4 linked regions of the Drosophila melanogaster genome follow. The protein of the gene in region 3 interacts with the protein of the main gene of each other region in a pairwise test. Each region holds a gene or a part of one and is shown on either strand. Other genes may lie near its edges. The genes, in order: ATbp, Kap-alpha1, Doc3 and Lim3.

Region 1 (4,837 bases), on a different chromosome or scaffold from region 3:
CAAGCGCATTAACATTTTATGGTCAGATGTGAGCAAGGTTGTTAACTTTGTGGGCAATGGATAAAATACAAGAAAAACAAGAGAGATACCCGTTGCTCAGCTAGTGTGAATGCGAACACGAAATTTTATCATTTTATTATGATATCGATAGATATTGGGGAATAAAATGAGAAAAAATTTAAGAATTGTTCAAAACTGTTTTTTGGCAAATCGATAGAAATTTACACAACTAATAAAATTATGAAAAAATATCAAACAATTTTTCAAAAATGTGGGCGTAGCAGTTATATACTTTATATGGTCGGATTCCTTTCTGCCTGTTACATACTTTCAACGATAATAAAAAGGCAGTTGTAGCTTCTCGAGCAACTAACAATGGAAAACTTTGGGCTGTAATTAAGAAGTCCTGGACCTAAATATCCCTTAAACAGTGCCAGGACCTGAATCAATCCATGCCAACACGTTGAACAGCTGTTTAAAATTGAATATTTAAGCATTTTTCATGACGTGGCTAATTAAGTTAAGAACTCATAGAACAATGTAATTATTTTTTATTTTCTAATAAGTGCATGATTTAACTTTTCTAAAAAGGTATTTTTGCTCTTTTTAAATCCTAAAATTGGGACTTATTCAAACCTTGATTGGGCAAGTGGTAATATTAAATTTTTCGCAGCTGTATATATGGCCATATATACATAAATATTGTGTATCTAGGTAAATAACTGTTCTAACCTTGTAAACTGTAACTGACACTATTTCAGCAACCACTAGATATGTCCCAGAAATCTCGCTGTCCTCAGAATCCATTTCAACTTAAAGTAAAAGACTTACTCAAAGGAGACTAATCGGTTTTAACACATTGTGAACCAATTTACTCTAAAACAAAACTCACAACGGTCTAGACACCAACATATTTTTTGGTTGGGCTTAATTCCGTCTTCTAAATTTTGGTCTCCTTTACACACATCATTGCATGTACACTTAGAGCGTAAAAGATAACGGGGGTTTTCATACCTCTGCCTAAACATTTACATTACATTTACATGACAACCTAAGCCTACATTAGATATTAGTTTATATTTGTATATTTTTATATACTAAATATGCATACATGTTATATATATTTATATTATATATTTATTTATATACAATATATATTCATTTGTAGAGCATATATATATACACATATGTGATATACATATATATGTCACTTGCCTGCCACAATGTTGACGCAGTGCTAAATTTTAATTTACAGTCGGAATTATCCAGAATTATTTAATTTATAAATATAAATATAAAGTCTATAACTTTATTGAGTCTTAGAAAAGGCAGAGAAATCATGGAAGAGACAAAATGTAGAACTCTTTTGTACACACCTTGCTAATTCAACAGATTTCTGTGGCTCCTAGCACAATGAACATTTTTTGTGGCAAACAAGCGATTTCCTTGAACTTAAGTCAACATTTTCAAACAGGGTTTTTCGAGATGCAATGTGGTTAATTGGGGAATCTTTGAGCTGTCTCTGTTTAATGTATAGCCTAAAAGCGCTGCGGCAATATCTCGCTTTTGATGCCTCTCAGTGCGTGCTTTTTCTTCCGGTGTGTTGATAGGTTGCACGACTGCTTGAAGGAGGCACTGCACAGTTCGCAATTGAACCGCCGCTCCTTGCTGTGAACTACCCGATGTAGCTCCATTCTCGACTTATACTTAAACTTCAAACCACAAGTCTCGTAATCGCAGACGTACCAGCGTTCTCCGTCATCTGAAGAGACAGCACTCCCGGCGCTGGCCGTCGTGCTGTTAGAGTCCTTGGGCAGCTGTTCCTGACTGGCGGCTAGCATAGCGGCGGCCATAGCCGTCGAAGGAACGACAGACATGTTTAGTTGCTGTTGCTGCTGTAGAACATTGGGTGGCGTGGTGCTGACCGTATTGGAGGTGCTGGTACTGGCGCTGACGCTTACAAATCCGGACCCTGGCGGTGGAGGCGGTACAGGTGGTGGAACTAGCTGTGGCAGATGGTAAATGGTCCCCCCAGCTGCTGCAGCAGCCTGCATTTCGGGTGTAAGTGTCAGACTGCTGGGCTCTATTTTAATGTCGATGGCGCTGTTACTTTGGGTAGTTCCTTCGCCTGTGGATACCACAGCTGCGGAGGCTGCAGCGGCAGCTACCGCATTGGCATGGAGTTCAGCCAGCTCCTTGGCAACATCCCGCTGCTGTTGGAGCTGCTGGTGGGTCTGCTGTTGTTGAACCTGGTGTTGCTGGTGCCCTTGCTGCTGAGACTGTTGGTGTTGTTGCTGCTGCGCTTGCTGCTGCTGCGCTTGCTGCTGTTGCACTTGGTGTTGCACCTGCTGTTCGTGCATTTCCACCTCCCGCTGCTCCTCCTCAGAATACTTGGTTGAGCAGGTGTAAAGTGCCAGAGGCACACTGATCGCTGTGGCGCCTTGCTGGGAGCTGCTTCCTGGCGTTGCTGCTGCCGCCGCAGCCTCCACATCCGTTAGGCAGTAGCTGGATGTACGACTGTGTTCCTGTGTAAAGAGACCAAGGGTTATAAACCCTCCGCCAAAAAAAAACCACATAAAGCATACCTTTGCCACCCCGTGCATGAAATTATGCTCATCCTGTATGTGCTTCCAGAACTGATCCTGTGTCTGCAACTCCTCTTGGCACGTGTGACAAACAATCCAGAAGCTATCCCCCGACAAACAGAACTCGCCCAGCTTGGTGTAGATCTTGTTGTTCTTGCTGAGGATGCGCGGAAAACCCATGGCGTTGTTTTGTTTGACTAGGTCCGGTCCTTGTGCTGTTGTTTGTTTATGTTTATTTTTTTTTTGTTTTTGTTTAGCTATCGGCCGAATGGGCACTGTCGATAGTATCGATTAATCATCGGCCTTATTTAGTGTCGAACTTGAACGCAGCTATCGCATTGATGGTAAAGAACTACATATCAGTGGTCCATAAAAAAAACTTTAATTAGGAATTATATTTACAAACGATAAAACGCATGTGAAGCTTTGGGAAAAAATCTTAAAAAACATTGGTTTCCTCAACAGGACACTCAAAAAAAGCGTTAGACATTGGAAGAACCAAAATACTTTTATAGCATTTTAAATATCTTCTATCGATATATCGATAAGGTAAAAACTTCTAAATAAAAGTCCAGAATCGCGAATTTTCTATCGATATTAAATAACTGTTGTATGGAATCTTTAAGCCTTTTACAATTTTAAAAATGTTGTGAAGTACCAAAAATGATTTTCATGCCCTCGTATGGTGGAGGCGTATATTAAATTCCTTGAAAAGTATTTAACAGGTAAAAGGAAGCGTTACCGACCCTTTAATGTATATACATATATTCTTGATCAGGAAAACTAGTAGAGTCGAACTGGACTTGTCCGTATCAATGTTTTGCTGTTTGAATAGCTCCATCTTTCTCGCATTTTCATTATCAGAATGAAGAGTTCTCCCTTACTCCTGAAAGGGTCAGTCGGTTATTTAGTTAGAACACAAGCATTATGTTAATAATTTTTTAAATAACGTACTACATAGTGTGTCCTGATTATTGTTAAGCATTGATTTAATGTGCTTTGATTACGAACTAATCGATGTTTTTTAATTTTCCGTTATGTGTATAAATGAATTTATGTATGAATATATAACAATACCGAAATATATTTGAATACAATCTTTTTTTTGGAAAAATCAATTATTATTCAATAATATTGAAGTCACTAGGAATCGTTCATTTCCTTCTGAAATTACCTTAATGCGTAGCTTAAAAGATAATATTATGGATTTTGTTATACAAATGTACAGTGGAGAAAATACAATCCAAAAGCAAAAGTATTGAGTACTTGTTATTGAAAAAATGTAAGTAACGCAAGACAGACACTTTTAAAATGATACCCTACCCGAAAACACATATGTATATTCATATGTGGCTATGTAAAATGTGAAATATATGTATATATGTATGTGTATTTACATAACTACATACTTAGGTATGTGCGATATATTTTCACATTTTGTTTTGTCTTTGCATTTCCCTACGTACAGACCGATAGACTGGCATGGATAGATCGACTCGGCTATTGATCCTGATCAAGAATATATATATATTATATGGTCGAAAACGCTTCCTTCCGCCGGTTCATACTTCTCAACGAATCTAGTATACCCTTTTACTCTGCGAGTAACGGGTAATATATGCCCCCAAACCTCACCTCCCTGAAACACCAATCTTTCTAAAATCGACACAACACACAATAAGTTCAACAAAAACAACACGACCCCAAAATTGATAAGGAAAATATTAAATAATAAGCAAACTAACGATCTTTCCTAGACCTACATTTACACAGATGGATCTCAAACAAACAAAATTACCAGCTTCGCTATTAACTACGAAATTTAACTTATCAAACGGCACATCATACTAGCCATTATTGAGGCCCTAAGAACTCATAAAAATAAAAGAGCAAAATTCTGCATTATTAAGAACACCAGGAAATGAACTCGCTGACAGCCAAGCAAGAACCGCAACAAGCCATCCACTTACAACTATTGAAAACTTTAACACACAGGACATACTTAAATATATAAATAAATGTATATAACCAACATCTCGAGGACATCAAATTGGCATCAAACATCAAGCCAAAATCATCTTAACAGCTACCATTCTTTTGCTTGGACTAGAAAAAGCATACGAAATTAGAGAAATACCTATACAAAATTAGTTAATTAAATATAAGAGGCGGTGCCACGGCCACAATTTTTGGTATCATAAAAGATAATGGCAAAAAAATTTAAATATCTTTATCCGTTCTAGAGTTACAAA
Region 2 (5,387 bases), about 11 Mb from region 3:
AGCTGGGTGGCTACGACATTCCGAAAAATGCCACAATTCTGATTAGCCTACGTTCAGTGCATCTCGATAAGGAGCACTGGAAGGATCCGCTGGAGTTCCGCCCAGAGAGGTTCATCGATTCGGCTGGCAAGTGCTTCAAGGACGAGTACTTCATGCCCTTCGGCATGGGCAGACGCCGTTGTCTGGGCGATGCCCTCGCCCGTGCCTGCATCTTCTCGTTTCTAGTGCGGATCGTGCAGCATTTTAGCGTTGTCCTGCCGGCGGGAGAGTCTCCATCAATGGTGCTTCTGCCTGGGATTACGCTTACTCCAAAACCATACAAGGTGCAGTTCGTCAAGCGCACCTAAGTTCGTGACTGGAGTCGATGGTGTCGGTATTATAGGTCAAGAGATATGGTGCTGAATCCACTAGGATATTTCCAAGGATTCCGAAAATTATTTACACATGAGGATATTATAAGCTTAAAGATTCAATAAAAACTTATGCCAATCTGCATAGCTGTGGTCTAGATGTTGTTTATTGATGTCCTCTAAATTAAATTACAATGCTTTATAATTTAAACAAATTTACATTCGGCGATTCGCATAACAAAATGATCAAATGAATCAGAATGTATAACAACACCATGTGAGGATCTCATCGTACTTGGGCTGGAAAATATATATATAAAATGGAAAATATTTACAGACTCAATTTGAGGAAAGCAAAAACATATACAATGGGTTCTGTATAACATATTAAATTAGTACAATCGAACTAAATGAAAGCAATCTCGTCATGCCTGGTCCTGGACCACTTCGAAAATTATAGAACTAAACGCTGATACAATAAGCAGGTGAGTGATTGTAACAAAGAAACGAGCCGACCGAACGACCATCTTTCCTTAAATGCTAGTAGTGACTGCACTTGGGCAAGGCAGACGCCTTCTCATGCGGTCTATTTTTCATGTCCGTGCTCTGGCCGCCTTCATTTAAATCCCGGCGGCAAGGCTTCGCTTCCTGTTGCATATGCTTCTGTGTGTTTAGGACTTGAGGGATTCGTATTTGAATAGTTAAACGATGTCCTGCGCGGTAGGGTGCTAAAAGTTAAATCCGGTGCTGGGCATGTTGTCCGGATCGAACTCAAACTGTTGCGTGCCTGCCACGGGAGCCACCCGGCTATCCTCCTCTTCGTTGCCGAAGTACTGTTCGATAATGTAAAATGATTTGTGGTAGATGTCGCGGTTTTCATGCGCCTGCAGATACTCTATTTTGTCCAAACCTATATAATATTAACAGAATCGATATTTAAATGGAAATTTGAAAGTAAAAATAAATAGCGTTACCTCCGCATTCCTCGATGGTAATAGCATAGGGATTTGGTCGCGTCTGGAACTTTTCACCTGCCTTCAAAATGTTTTCAAGTGCATTTAGCGCCACTTGGACGATGTCCGAGTCGACGACGGTGAGAAAATCGCACATGGGCGGCACACAGCCAACCTGCACCAGGTAGTGGATCTGTTCGTGCGTACCGCTGCTGGTTGCGTTGGTAATGGCCCATGCGGCCTCCTTGCGAGTCTTAAATTCGGCCGTCTGCATGATAACCATCAGCTGCGGGAATATGTTGGCATTGATTAAGGCCTGGATCTGCTCACGATTGCCGGCTGCAATATTTGAGATTGTCCAGCACGACTCCTTCTTGATTGTTTCCGCCGTCGAATGCAGCAGGTGGCTAATGCAGGTCAAAGCGTTGTACCCCAATATCACCTGGGTCTGCTGATCGTCGCCTGTCACAATATTGCCCACGGCCCTCAGAGCAGCTGTGCTCACGTTCTGCTGAGGATGTCTGCCAGGATAGGTCAACAAATCATAAGTGTAATTTTAATTTGTAATGGCGCAGCAGGACTACTTACAATAGCAGCTCAACCAGGCGACGGCAAACACCCGCATCAATTACAGCCTGGATTTTATCATTGGGACCATCTGACAGGTAGCCTATGGCCCAGCAAGTATCGCTTAGTACATCCGCATCAGTGTACTTCAGCAACCGTGCCAGTATTGGTAGACCATGGCTAATTTTGGCAAAGTCTGCGGGAGGGCTTTTGCCGCGGCACAAGTTTGAAAGTGTCCACACCGCATTCCGTATCATGGTAATGCGATCCGAGTTGCTCAATACACTGCAAGAAGTCACACCTACTTTGGCGCAATCTTATCAATATAATTATTTATAACTTACTGCAGGAGAGGCTCTAGAATGCCGGAGCCGAGCAAATGGTCTCGACACATGGGTGAGTCACCGGCTATGTTGCCTAGGGCCCACACGGCCTGTTCCTGAACATCATCATGGGGACTGGAGAGCAAATCAATGAAGATAGGCACTGCCCCGGCCTCGATAACCACCTTGGTCTGTTGCGAGGTGCCCGATGCGATGTTCGTTAGCGTCCAGGCGGCCTCGAACTGCAGCGTGGCATTTGCGCTATTTCGCAAAAAGGTGACAAACTGTGGCACTATCCCCTTCTGGATGACTTCCTCAATGGGAGGATTGGGATCGCGGGACAGCAGTTTGCGGAACTTTTGAGTCGCCTCAAGCTGTTCGTTTTCACGTCCACTGAAGAGCATTTGAATCATTTCCTCGTTGATTACGGATGGCTGTGCCCCGCTTCCAGCAGCTTCCTCGTTTTGACCGCCAGTGCTGCTGTCAGCCATGTGCATGTCGGCAGCCTGCATTGGAATGGAGAGATAGTTAAGACTATGCTATCAGGCCAAACTTGATCAAAATATACCTGCTGTTCGTTATCGGTGTTGCTCTCCACTCCGGCTGATGTTGAGGATGTAGCCGGCTCAAGAACCACATTGCGTCGCTTAAAGAGCTGCTGTTCGCGTTTGTTTTTTCGCAACTGGATGCCCACCTCCTCGCGACGACGACGCATCTCTGTGGAGTCCAAGGCGGCATTTTTATAACGCTGTTTGTGGCTGGCAGACATTTCGTCGTCTTGGCAATTCAAAAGCTTGAAATAGTTAAAAAAAATATTTCTTTGAGAACAGAATAATTTAAGTCGTAAAGACAGGTTTCAGATAAAAAGTGAGTGCGACTTGATTTTCGCCGCTACTGTGATCAAATGCTAAACGAAAGTGCAAATAATCTAGAAAATATAGGTAGAGGTCGTCGTGGAATGCGAACTAGTTGAATTGAACGTTTATAATCATCACTAGGTGTTCCCCAATGTTCTCATCCACTCCCACCAGGATTATTACGCCCTGTAACCACTGAACATTCGCTTAGCGCCTGCTCTAGGCTAATTTTACATTTCCGGAAACATAAAGATTACGTTGTCAGGCGAATAATTTACATATAATAGGTTCACATTTAATGAACTATTCAGTTTTCCTGGCAAAATGCACAATCACAACACTTTCACATTTCATTGTACGTGTATGTACATATGTGCACACACGGCTGCTTTGCGTTTGTGCGTATAGGTGCGGGCTTAGGTCAGCCAGCATGAGCCATTCGCTGGTCTCCGGTTACGCCCTTCTTTGAGCCACCACAACTCCTGGTTAGAAGAGGCGCCTTCAGATACGTAATTAGAACACAATTTACCTGTTCCGGAGAATCCTTTTCTCGTCTTAATCATGCAAGGGGACGGGAGATTTTACACGTTGTGAGGAACGGGGATGCCGGACTGTCAAAATGCAATGCACACAGCTGACGCGCTATCGATAGCGATATCAACCGATAGCAGTAATTCCAATCCAATTGCATTTAATTTAAACATGAAAGAAAATAAGAAAAAGTCGCGCAAAACGGCCAATAAGACAAATGAAACGTCAGAGGGTCAGAAAAAGAAGATCATTGAACTGCTGCACGAGTACAACGACCTAAAGGATGCCACCCAGCGCGTCCTGGAAGCCTTGGCCAACCTAAAATGCGTACCCGTCGGATCGGTTTACGCTACATACAACCTGCCCCGCGACGAATAAAGTTTGTGCTTTTTAGACTGTTATATTTATGTACTTGTTGTAAACAACTTGTAATACAACGGAGTGCATGTAAATGCCTTCTGGCTTGGCAGTTCCATGAGACTTCTGCTAATAAATCCACCTAAAACTAGTCATTGCATTTGTTCCACCTATTGGCCAGCATGAAAATAGGACCGGCATCGTTCATTGAAGGTCTTGTAGGAACGATCTTTAATGATGTCCTCGACATTGAGCTCGGCCTGGAGAACCCGCAGCTGGAAAGGATCATAGGCATCAGTTAAGAGTAAGACTTAGGTATTTCGGTTACCTTGCGCTGCTCCGCCCTAAACTGGTTATCCGTATCCACATCATCCGGCTGGGTCTCCCGCTTTTCCCTTAGCTTCTTCAGATTACTAGCCGAAATTGTTATGCAACTGCGTATGCTTTCTTGCTGCAAGGAGAAGCTATCTGTCAAGATCCCCGTGTGTTGTACTTAATCAGGATTTACCCTGGCCAAGTGTGACTCCTGGAGCTTCGCGTACAGATCGCGACAGGTGCTTTCACTGTTCACTTGACCCTTAAACGACTCCGTTGGCAGGGCATTTAGTGCATATATAATCTTGTCGTCCACATCTCGCATCTTCTTCAGTGCCTCCTGTTTGGAAACTTAAAGCCATTTAGTATGCCGGCTACTAACCCAAACAACAATATTCCAACCCCCACCTGGAAGCCGAGAAAGTCTAAGCACAATGCCGCCATTTAAACCAGGTAGGAAAACAAGAAAACACTTTAAAAAATAATAAAAACAAAATGATATATGTAAAATTGCCGGCGCAATGTGCCTCTAATCGGGGTTGCCACCTGGGCGGTGCAATCGATTAGCACGATTATGGACAATCGATGTGGATGATAAAGACTAGTTGAACAAAACAAAACAAAATAGCAAAATAATTCAAGATGCCGCTAAAATTCGATGATATTCACGAGAAAATTGAAACCGGCGTCTACCAATTGGCTGTTAATGACAAAAGCACACGGAGCACTGTGTGGCGGGTGTATCGCAAGATCAAGAAGGACGATGGTAGCTTTCTGGAGCACGTACTGTTCTGCATCGGCTGCAGGAGCATTATGTCCTTCACCCACAAATCCACAACGAACCTGAGGCGTCACCGGTGTCACCTGCAGTATCTCAAGAAACAGGCATTCTGCTGCTACAATTCCAAGGGCGAATCCAACGACAGAAAGGAGGAGACGGACCAGGAGCATCATGAGGAACATGATGACCAACAATCCATGTCGGATGAGTTGGAAACAAAACCCTCTCCTGCCGATGTTGCCGCCTTTGTGGGGGAAGCGGTCAGCGGCGGAGATTCCACTGCAGCTTCAGCCCGTATTCCGGACATTCCCGAGATCGCGCTACCACTCGACGCAAGTGGGGTCGAGGAGTCC
Region 3 (4,467 bases):
GGTTCCGTTCCGTTCCGGTTCCCATTTTAATACCCCCAAGCGATGTCCTTTTGCGGTTTTGTCGGCCCGCTTTTGTCTCCAACATCCAGCAGACCAGACAATAGCAAACAAATTGTAGAGCAGACCCACAAACAGGCAATAATCATAACAATAATTTTGGAAACTGCAGAGAGACACACAAACAGTCGGCGGTCGTCGCACAGCCAGGCCATAAAACTGAAACTGGCATCCTCGCATCATCGAGGCTCTCGCTTTTGTTCCACGGTTGTTCCCGTCGTTGAGGAGGCATCAGCTCGGGGACAAAGTGTGATGATTTTTATGACTCGCCTGTGAGTTTGTGCCGCCAGTGTCGCCCTGCCAACGGCACCGGCACCCGAAATGCAGGACAAGTGGCAACAAGTGGCTGATCCGTTAGACGTATCCCTTTTCCATCCCGTCCTACTACGATGCTCAAGTGGCTCGAAGGCGACAGTGTCTTGGCGCCAGTTTGATTTGATGGCCGCTCCCGGCTGCCGCAATTTGTTGTGGCCCAGCATCGAGTACAAAGTACCATTTAAAGGTCTGATTAGCCGGACTTATCACGGGGCGGATCTCTTTCGAGATTCTCCTTCGCAACGGTAGCGGCGATATTTCGCTGCATCTACAAGATGCACGGCAGATTGCAGATAAGTTAAATGCAACCGAACATATGGGTTCCGATCATGACGGTGGAATAGATAGATCTATGAACTGGTTATCAAAGGTTTGACACTCAAGTGCTGTCTCAAGATGATATGCCGATGATCAAAATGTTAAATAACCTAGAAGATACTTTAGAAGTCATTCGATTTGAAGGATAAGCTGTGGGAAAATAATAATAATAATAATAATAATAGTGCAGTACTAAAATTCTTAACCTAAATTTTAAATCTTTTTGTATAGTATCTCTTTAAATATTCTTGTCTAATAAATACCACTTTTAACAAAGAGTAAATATAAATTACTTGATTTTCACACCTTTATTTTATTTGCCTAGATTTGGCTTCATTATCACATTGATGAATAGTAAAATGCCGACATAAAACAAAATGCTCGTATATTTTTTTTTATATTTTTGTTATAATGATAATGCAATGTTATAAAAGTACTTTGTTTGATAATATTTTTGTTTTTTATCTATTGAATTGTGGCAATTCAACTCAGACTGTAAACACTGATAGTTAACAGAGAGTTAACGAAGATTTTCCAATCTGTTTATTGTTTTTAACATTAACAAAATTGAAAAGAACGATGAATAAATTTATTTCTACAAAGTATTTTGGAAATTCCTCCTCTAATTCTATACGCCTAATGTTTTTCTCGTGCCTCCGAAATTACAGCTTCCCATTTCTGGGACAATGTAATCTCGCCGAACATTATTGGTTGGCCCATATCCAAAACGTTTTCCAGTTCCATAAATATTACAAACGATTAGGCGACTTCAAAGAGCGCTCCCCCGATTCCACGAAGAAAAGCCCCATTCCCCATTGCCGTTCCCTTTCCACGTAACGCTATCAGCAGCAAGATGGGTGCCGTGCCCCCCAGTTCCGTGAGAGGAGGTCACCAGAACCGCTCCACGCGGCGTTACGAAAATGGCGTTCCATCTGGCGCAGCGAGTGCAAGCGGGACGGCGTAACGCTCGCTGATAAGCGACCAATGGCAAAGAGATAAACATACACACATGGCCTGACGCACTGGAAGTGGAAGCGAGAGAGCGGGTGAGTGGCAAGCCACTTGAGCATGAGAACAGGTTAGGCAACTACCTGAGGATAGGGATCGGATCGGATCGGATCGGCAGAGTGAAGAGCGAAGTGAGCGGGAGGAACCCAACCGACCGGATTCTGGCAGAACTGAAGTAGTGCCCGCTCTGAGATTCCGAGAGACAGTCTCAATCTGGACAGCAAAGCGATCAGTTCGTGTTCCAGACGTCGATTGCCCACGGAATAATATCAACGTATCACAAAAATAATAGATTACGCACATAGCTCCACGAAGACCCCAAATATGTTGACCTTGCCCAACATCGCCGATCTGCGATTGCAGCAGCAGATCGCCCAGGAGATATACCGCCAGCAGATTATGCAACGTTTACCCGGTAAGTGGAGCACTCCCTGCGCTTGTGATTTGCCGTCGGCTAACCCAAAGTGTCTACCACAGATCCCCTATGCGGCCTGCTACCCAACTTTGCCGGACACTTTATGCCACCGCCGCCACCGCCGCAACCCACTTTGCCCGGCGATGTGGAGGCCAAGCTGGAGAATAACGAACTCTGGCAGCAGTTCCACAGCATCGGCACCGAGATGATCATCACCAAGTGCGGCAGGTTGGTACCATTTTAAAGTCAACTATTTGCTCGCCCCCATCAGCTTATCTCCCATTGATAAGCCTTCTGCTTACTCTTAAATCTTACGGCGCAAACGTGTCACTAACATCCATTAACCAACGCCTCCATCCCTTTCAGACGCATGTTCCCTTCGATGCGGGTTTCCCTCAGTGGACTGGAGGAGGAGGCCAGCTATTGCGTGCTCCTCGAGATGGTGCCCATTGGCGATTGTCGCTATAAGTTCTCTGGATCCCAGTGGGTGCCGGCCGGAGGAGCCGAGCCCCAGAGCCCGCAGCGCATGTATCTGCATCCGGAGAGTCCAGCCACGGGAAAACACTGGCAATCCCAGGCTCTGCTCTTCAGCAAAGTGAAATTGACGAATAATACGCTGGATAACAATGGTCATGTAAGTAAACTTTGTCAAGAATATTACATAAACAAATTTGATCTTTTGTTCTTGAGTAGAAATATATGTATCTTTGTATATCCTCAAACTAACCGTGTATTTTTCTGTCTCTCCAGATCGTCTTGGCCAGCATGCACAAGTATCAGCCGCGTCTGCACGTCATACGAACCTCTGATCTCGGCCAGATTCCCTGGGCCCCCCAACAGGCCTTTATCTTTCCGGAGACGGAGTTTATAGCCGTAACAGCTTATCAGGTGCGTGGTGCTATATCGCAGTCTAAATATGGCACGTGATAGCTAATCCTCTTGTTTGCATTTGCAGAATGACCGCATAACCAAGCTGAAGATCGACAACAATCCCTTTGCCAAGGGATTCCGTGAGTCGGGTCAGTCGAGATGCAAACGGAAGATCAATGACTCGCCACCGCCAACGCAGCCCGAGGCAAACCAGGTGGATCGAAGCCCGGTGACATCGCCGTTAGCCAAACGGTTGCGACTCGTGGAGGAATTTCCCCAGCACCATCATCACCAGAGTCATCACAGTGTTCCTATGCAGCGTCACTATCTGCTGGATGCTCTGGAGGCCAATTTCTATGTGCCAGCGCCACCGCCGCCGGCCATCGAGTATGCCAGGCACATCGGTGGTGCTTATCCAAGTTGGGCTTACACACCGCCATCGCCGGCCTCCTCTGTCTCGTCCTCCTCGGCGGGCTCGACGAGCGGCGAATCTGCTGCCGACCGAGAGGCAGATGCCGATGCCGACACCTTTGTAGATGTGGTTGGAACCGCACCGGCTGCTCCTCCGCCTCCATCTCCGCCTGTGCCAGCCACTGCTACTGCCCCTGCTTCGTCATCCAGCGATCCGACGATGGCCAAGCCGAAGCGCAGCAGCTTCAGCATCTCGGACATATTAGGAACCAGCTCGTCCATTTAAAACTATCAAGTGCAGACGGGTGCATGTGCTCCCGTTTGGCTTGGAATCGGTGCCTTGTACATTTAATTAGCGTTTAGTTGCCATCGTCTGCGTAGTGTCTAAGCTGAATTGTGATATTTTGCAGTTAATTAGGATTTCCAGGTATTTGCCATCAGTATTTATCGTATTTATTATGCAATTTTAATTGTTCACATGATTTCGTAATGGATTTATTGTCTTTGGCATTTTAATGCGGCATAAATAAAATTGTACGTACATATGTACGTATCCAATGAATTCGATGGAGCTATTTCTGGGATGAAACAATGCGGGGAATGTGAAGCAATTAGATGGGACAGATGCGAAGAGCTTCCAGCTCGAAGATCTGAATAAATTCCCCAATAACTTCCCATGACTGCGCTTCGAATCCTGTTCCTCGAGCAATTTGTGCATGCTGTATGCCTTCCATTTGCCTGTCCTCGCCGAATACATAATTCGGCGTGGTTTTGCCTTTGGTTTCGGTTTCATACATATCTCCCGCATGCGAGGCATAAAAACCAGTTCCTCCAGGCCCCGCACCCGCCCTCCCTCTCCTGCTCCAACTTCTTGTGAAAGAAAGAAGGTTTCTAAGAGCAGAACAACCCACCGGCAAGCAGCAACATCGGCAGCAACAACATGGTCATGGGCTTATCAGCAGATCAGAGCGAGCCGCATCTTAAACGCTGGCGCCGGCGCCAAGTTAAATGCGCTGATTGAGCGCCACGATCACCGGCAAACCTGGCGAGCAGTCCAATTCAAATACCCAATC
Region 4 (5,002 bases), on a different chromosome or scaffold from region 3:
AAGGCGCGGCCAACACATGGGCAAAGTGTATTCAAAGGGTTAACTTACAGCAGAAGTGAAATATACGGTTTTAACATGAAAACTGTATTCTCAATATTTACTAAAGCAAAATTAAGAAACCACGATATTTTTTAATGTAAATACGACTATTCTCTCTTTCATTTCAAAAATTGATAAATTGATAAATAAAATTCAAAAATGTAATCTAAGTTTGAAAACCAAACATTTTAATAATATACTATTCTTGGCAAACATTTTTGTTCACTGTGCAGGAAAATCTCCTAGGCAGCCTTCAGATGGACAGGACTGAATCAAAGATGGCATGACTTGGCCACTTACCCTCGAGCGCCCGGTTCCTGGAAATTAAGGCGAGCACCAGTTCGGGATTTGGGTCATCCTGGTCGACAGCCAGGTGATTGTGGTGCGGATGTTGCTGCTGCTGTTGCTGCCCACCGACCAGGTGAGATGCCTGCGGCGTGGGTGGCAATTGTTGCTGCTGCTGCTGCTGCTGATGGATATGCGGCTGATGTTGCTGGTGATTATCCATGGCTGACAGGTGCTGTTGCTGCTGCAACGGATGTTGCAGCTGCTGATGCGGATGTGGCTGCTGCTGAGGCGGATGCTGGAGCTGGTGCTGATGCTGGTGGTGATGATGTAGCGGTGGCGGTGGTTTCAGGGTTTGCATCATTGCTGAGGGGCCGGCGATTTGAACACGCGTCGTATGAGTTATATGTATATTTCAGTTAGCTTATTCCAATTGGCACACGTTTGTATCTTTAGCCCTGTTTGGTGTTTAAAAAGCAATCTTTGTGTTAGTTTACCGCACTCGTTTCCCGTTTAGCGTCTAAACGAGACTCCGCTAGGCGGGATCGCTGTCTGCTCGATAACTGGCATTGGTTTGTGCCCAACAGTGGCCCGGTTGACTGTTTTTCCCTTATCGCGGCGGTCTCTTTGGGTTTCGGTTTCTACGGTAGAATCTAGATTCCAGTCTTGCCACTCGGTTGGGCTCGTGCTCAGTGCTCGGCTGCTCTATCAGTTGAAGTAGCCAGGGACTTGAACAATTTGAATTTGTTTGCGATACCGGGGCACACTAGACCATCTATTGTTCGGGTGCTTTCGACCAAGTGCAAGGCGGGTAAACTTTATGTAAGCCGAGGATAGGGCCAAACTGATCGGTAGATATTCAAAAGACCGTTTGGCGCATATCTATTCATCGTCTATCACGAGGAGAATTCTCGTGCGAAGACAACAAATCGGATGTGCACTATACTATCTATCAAAAAACGGTCAATGTCCAAGGTTTTTTTATCAAAAACGAACTGCTAATGGTTCCCAAATCAAACAAAATAGTTAAAAAAAATTTTTGTGAAATATTATAACGTAGAATATTTGATAGCAAATATCCATTTAATAGTTTATCAGTATTTGAAAACTAGTTAAGATTGAAGATAATTTATTTTATAGAAATTCAAACAAACAAAATAGGTAAACAATTTATTTTTTGTGAAATATTAAAACGTAGAATAATTAATCGGAAATTTCCATTTAATAGTTCTTCAGTATTTGGAAACTAGTTAAGATTGAAGATCATATATAAATGAAACAAAATACTATGAAATTTATTTTATAGAAATTTAATTTTAGGAGCAAAGCTCCTAAGATTAAATTGAAATTAAAATGGCTAACATCGGGAGTTGGAAATCGCACATTAATCTTATTTTGATTGCCTTAAATCTTAAAACAAACAAAATCCAATCGTGTTAGTATTAAAATTCATATACTAAACATTTTAAAATCCTAAACGTATCTTGGTTTTGTAACTCTTCTCAACACAATTTGCTCAATAGACTTTTTTGTTTTAAGGATCTACTGTTAAAATGTAACATTCCATTTTTTAATCAAGCTGGCTTTCTTTTCAATAGTTCCTCAGAATTTTAGCCTTTTTATTGAGCCTTTCGTTATGCGACGGAATCGTAAAACCAGTGGAAATGATTTGCATTTACCCTATTAAAATTTTTTGCGTCACTTTAACACTCAACTCTAGTATTTGTTAACTTTGTTAATTATTGGCTGGTTTTTAATTTTCTTATTTCAACATTTCGTATTATTTCGTTTGAATTTTCTGCGGCACTTGAACGCGATTTTATGCGAACGCCATTTTGGCGACGGCATCGGCAACTTTAACGGTAACGGTAACGGATTCGGCAGCGAAAACGACGACGGCAAATGCGAAGCCAGTGCGACAAAATGGCGGCGGCATGGCTAACGGTGTTTGCCCAACGGTAAGGTAACGGTCTGGAAACGGTAACGGTGTCGGTAACGGTACGGCGGCAACCCTGGACGCGGCAACACTGGCAGGCGGCTGGTATTGTTGCTGGTGGGAATCCCCTCTATTTGCCGCGCTGCATCTTTATTTATTTTCTTGGCCGTCCAAACTGTCGTCTCTCCTTTTTACTTTGCGCACTTTTTCACGCTTTTTCTCGACTGTGCGAGCTTTTAACGCTGTTGTTTTTTTTTTTTTTTTTTTTTGTTTTTTGCCTTTCGTCTTGTATTCGTGTGCCGTTTGCCGTTTGCCTTTTGGCCGCCCACATGGGTACGCCGTGCGTATACGTACTATCTGTGGGTGTGTGCGGGTGTGCGGGCGTGTGTTTACCAATTGATCCTAATGTGACACAAATGATATGGTAAAATGCATACAGCCAGCCCTGAATGGCAGGACAACAATGGCAACAAGGCGGCGAGGCGACAACGCCAGCAGCGACAACATTTTTGTGCTTCTTTTTGGAGGCCGTGCGCATGTGTGTGTCGCTCTCTGGCGATGCCCATTTGCCCGAAAAGTCCAAATTCCAAGAGCATTACAATATTTGTAAAACGCAAAAACTTTAGCCTCGTCGAAAAAAGAAGGTGTGGAAACTTTTTTTTGTTTCCCTCTGCCTCAAGAAGCTTGAGCTGCAAAAGTGCAGGGGCAAAAAAAAAATGAAAAAAGGAAAACAGCACAGTGGGTAGAACAAAAAGCCAACCAACGTCGAGCGCGACACCTTCGTTGGCCCCAAAACAACAGTAAACAGCACTTAAAAGTCAGCAGCGACGTCGACTGAGGCGAAACAAATATGAGAAACTTAACTCAAAGGTCCAAGTCAATACGCGGCGCGCGGTCACCAAAAATGCGGGGTCTCCACTGGAAAACAGGCACCGCCCCTTTATATTGAAAATCGCTGGAAATCGGCCGACGATAGAGTCCAAAAGCAACAAGAACTTCCAGGCATGCGCAGGCAGTGGCCATTATCTTATCGCCCCAGCGTCGCCATTAAAATGGGGCTGGGGTGGCCATACGCTTCTATTCCTAGAGTTCGATGTCGTTCCAGCGCCGGCGCACTCGAAAACCCAAAGCTGGCAGGGTGATGGGAGAGGGGGGAAGTTGCTACTCCATGCCCGAGTCACCCGTTGCCCATGAGTTCGCTGTATCTGCATAGGATTCTCGCTGTCTGTGTAGTTTCGGAACCCCTATATCTATAGTGGATACTTGCCACCCGTCCCGAAAACCCCTTAAATGCGTTGCGTCTGCAAAAACGATTTTGTTTTCGCATTTATTTATGAGCCGCTTAGAGCGCGCCAAATACTTTGCCAAACACTTTGAACCCCAACGCCATGCTCGAGAACCCCACGCCCCCGCTCCCAACGGATGACCTCCGCCCACCCACCGAAGTGGACACTAGCAGGGAAGGTCGTTTGTGGGTTGGGTTCCGCGCTGCGGCGGAGCAAGGAACGCGAACAGCTGGAGTGCGTGGGTCGCTCGAAAAGTATGCCCGGTCTGAGAAAGTCTGCATAAAATGCCAGATACAAAGTACGTATAAATATTAGAAAAAAACATGATTCCATCTTATGCTGTAAAATGTATTACTTCATACTTATACTAAGACTTTTGTATCATCATCATTTACAGCTTGCCTGTAATATATATTGGATACTATTACACAGAAGCTAAACTATAAACTGTATAAACTATATTACATATTTCCTTTATTAAACATTCAGCATTTTCTTATTGGGCTTTCGTTACGCGTGCGGAACAACACGAAAACACGGCATACCCTTGAACCCAACTAGTACCGATTATAAAAAAATATAGGGTAAGAGCATAAAAATGCAGCGTGACCCTGAAACTGAAACTGATCGTGAATGGAAATGGAAATGGAAATGGCTGATGAAACCGATGCACTCAATCCAACGCGATCCCAATCTATGGCATCCCAGGCGGAGCTTCACTTCCGCGGTTACCAAATCGACTTTGACTTTCAAATTTTCCAACGCTTTTGTCGCAGACGTCTGTCTAATGGAGCCGTTAATGGTTAGACACATGAAGTATTTTGCCAAATGGGCTCGACTTGGGACGGTTAATTGCTGATGATGTGATGATATGGAACCGGATCGGCAGTGGGTTTTGGGGGGGATGGCGGAGATTTAGTAAGCAGCAGTGCTAGTGTTTGGATAACACATTTTAATAGACAATTAACAAGCAGTTTGTTTAAATTTTCTTCACCGACATTTTTAACTTTTGTCCGGCGATCTTGTTTTCGCTATTGTGTCTTTTGGTAGTTACATAAACATAAATCTCGGCAATGGGCCAGTCAGAAAGACAAAAAACTTGCTGCCACTGCACATTTTCACACATAGCCGGATTTTTGTTAACGTTGTTGGAGTTCCCCCCCAAACTTTTTATTGGAGGGTCTCGAGATTCGGAGCTCATTGAGACTTGGTTAAAGCGCAGCCAGCTCATTTGTAGATTCGAATGTCAGCGGTGAACAAGTGCGGAACCAGCGGAGCGGCTAAATACCCAAATTCCCCCCCAAAGTAAATCGCGCCTTTTTTTTTGGATTAACCAGGATCATGGACTTTGATGAGTTCCGTGAATTTGGCCATGCCTCCATCGAGTTCCTTATCAACTATCTGAGCGGCATACGTGAGAGGTGTGTGTCTGGACTTTTATCCTTGGAGCGATGCC

The links.
Region 1: the proteins of Doc3 (region 3) and ATbp interact in a two-hybrid assay, tested with the Drosophila melanogaster proteins (one large-scale study listed by BioGRID).
Region 2: the proteins of Doc3 (region 3) and Kap-alpha1 interact in a two-hybrid assay, tested with the Drosophila melanogaster proteins (one large-scale study listed by BioGRID).
Region 4: the proteins of Doc3 (region 3) and Lim3 interact in a two-hybrid assay, tested with the Drosophila melanogaster proteins (one large-scale study listed by BioGRID).

The regions. Positions count from the first base shown.
Region 1 is NC_004354.4:23,104,032-23,108,868, reverse strand, and holds ATbp ((A+T)-stretch binding protein), read right to left. Parts: upstream 2,867-4,837; 5' UTR 2,766-2,866; coding exon 2,586-2,765; intron 2,526-2,585; coding exon 1,539-2,525; 3' UTR 538-1,538; downstream 1-537. UniProt on the Drosophila melanogaster protein: May be a transcription factor for genes having (A+T) stretches in their promoter and/or enhancer regions. Binds to AT rich DNA.
Region 2 is NT_037436.4:19,805,512-19,810,898, reverse strand, and holds Kap-alpha1 (karyopherin alpha1), read right to left. Parts: upstream 3,668-5,387; 5' UTR 3,580-3,667; intron 2,987-3,579; 5' UTR 2,963-2,986; coding exon 2,762-2,962; intron 2,700-2,761; coding exon 2,215-2,699; intron 2,156-2,214; coding exon 1,892-2,155; intron 1,825-1,891; coding exon 1,325-1,824; intron 1,261-1,324; coding exon 1,079-1,260; 3' UTR 501-1,078; downstream 1-500. Other genes in the region: Cyp305a1 (cytochrome P450 305a1), read left to right, coding at 1-347; CG14104 (uncharacterized protein), read left to right, coding at 3,753-3,959; Ccdc58 (Coiled-coil domain-containing 58), read right to left, coding at 4,109-4,213, 4,267-4,389, 4,447-4,593, 4,662-4,697; CG34116 (uncharacterized protein), read left to right, coding at 4,896-5,387.
Region 3 is NT_037436.4:9,003,296-9,007,762, forward strand, and holds Doc3 (Dorsocross3), read left to right. Parts: upstream 1-1,900; 5' UTR 1,901-2,022; coding exon 2,023-2,113; intron 2,114-2,175; coding exon 2,176-2,341; intron 2,342-2,479; coding exon 2,480-2,747; intron 2,748-2,863; coding exon 2,864-3,001; intron 3,002-3,068; coding exon 3,069-3,680; 3' UTR 3,681-3,954; downstream 3,955-4,467.
Region 4 is NT_033779.5:19,105,384-19,110,385, forward strand, and holds the start of Lim3 (Lim3), read right to left. Parts: upstream 3,045-5,002; 5' UTR 2,004-3,044; intron 893-2,003; exon of another isoform or gene 783-892; 5' UTR 689-782; coding exon 340-688; intron 1-339.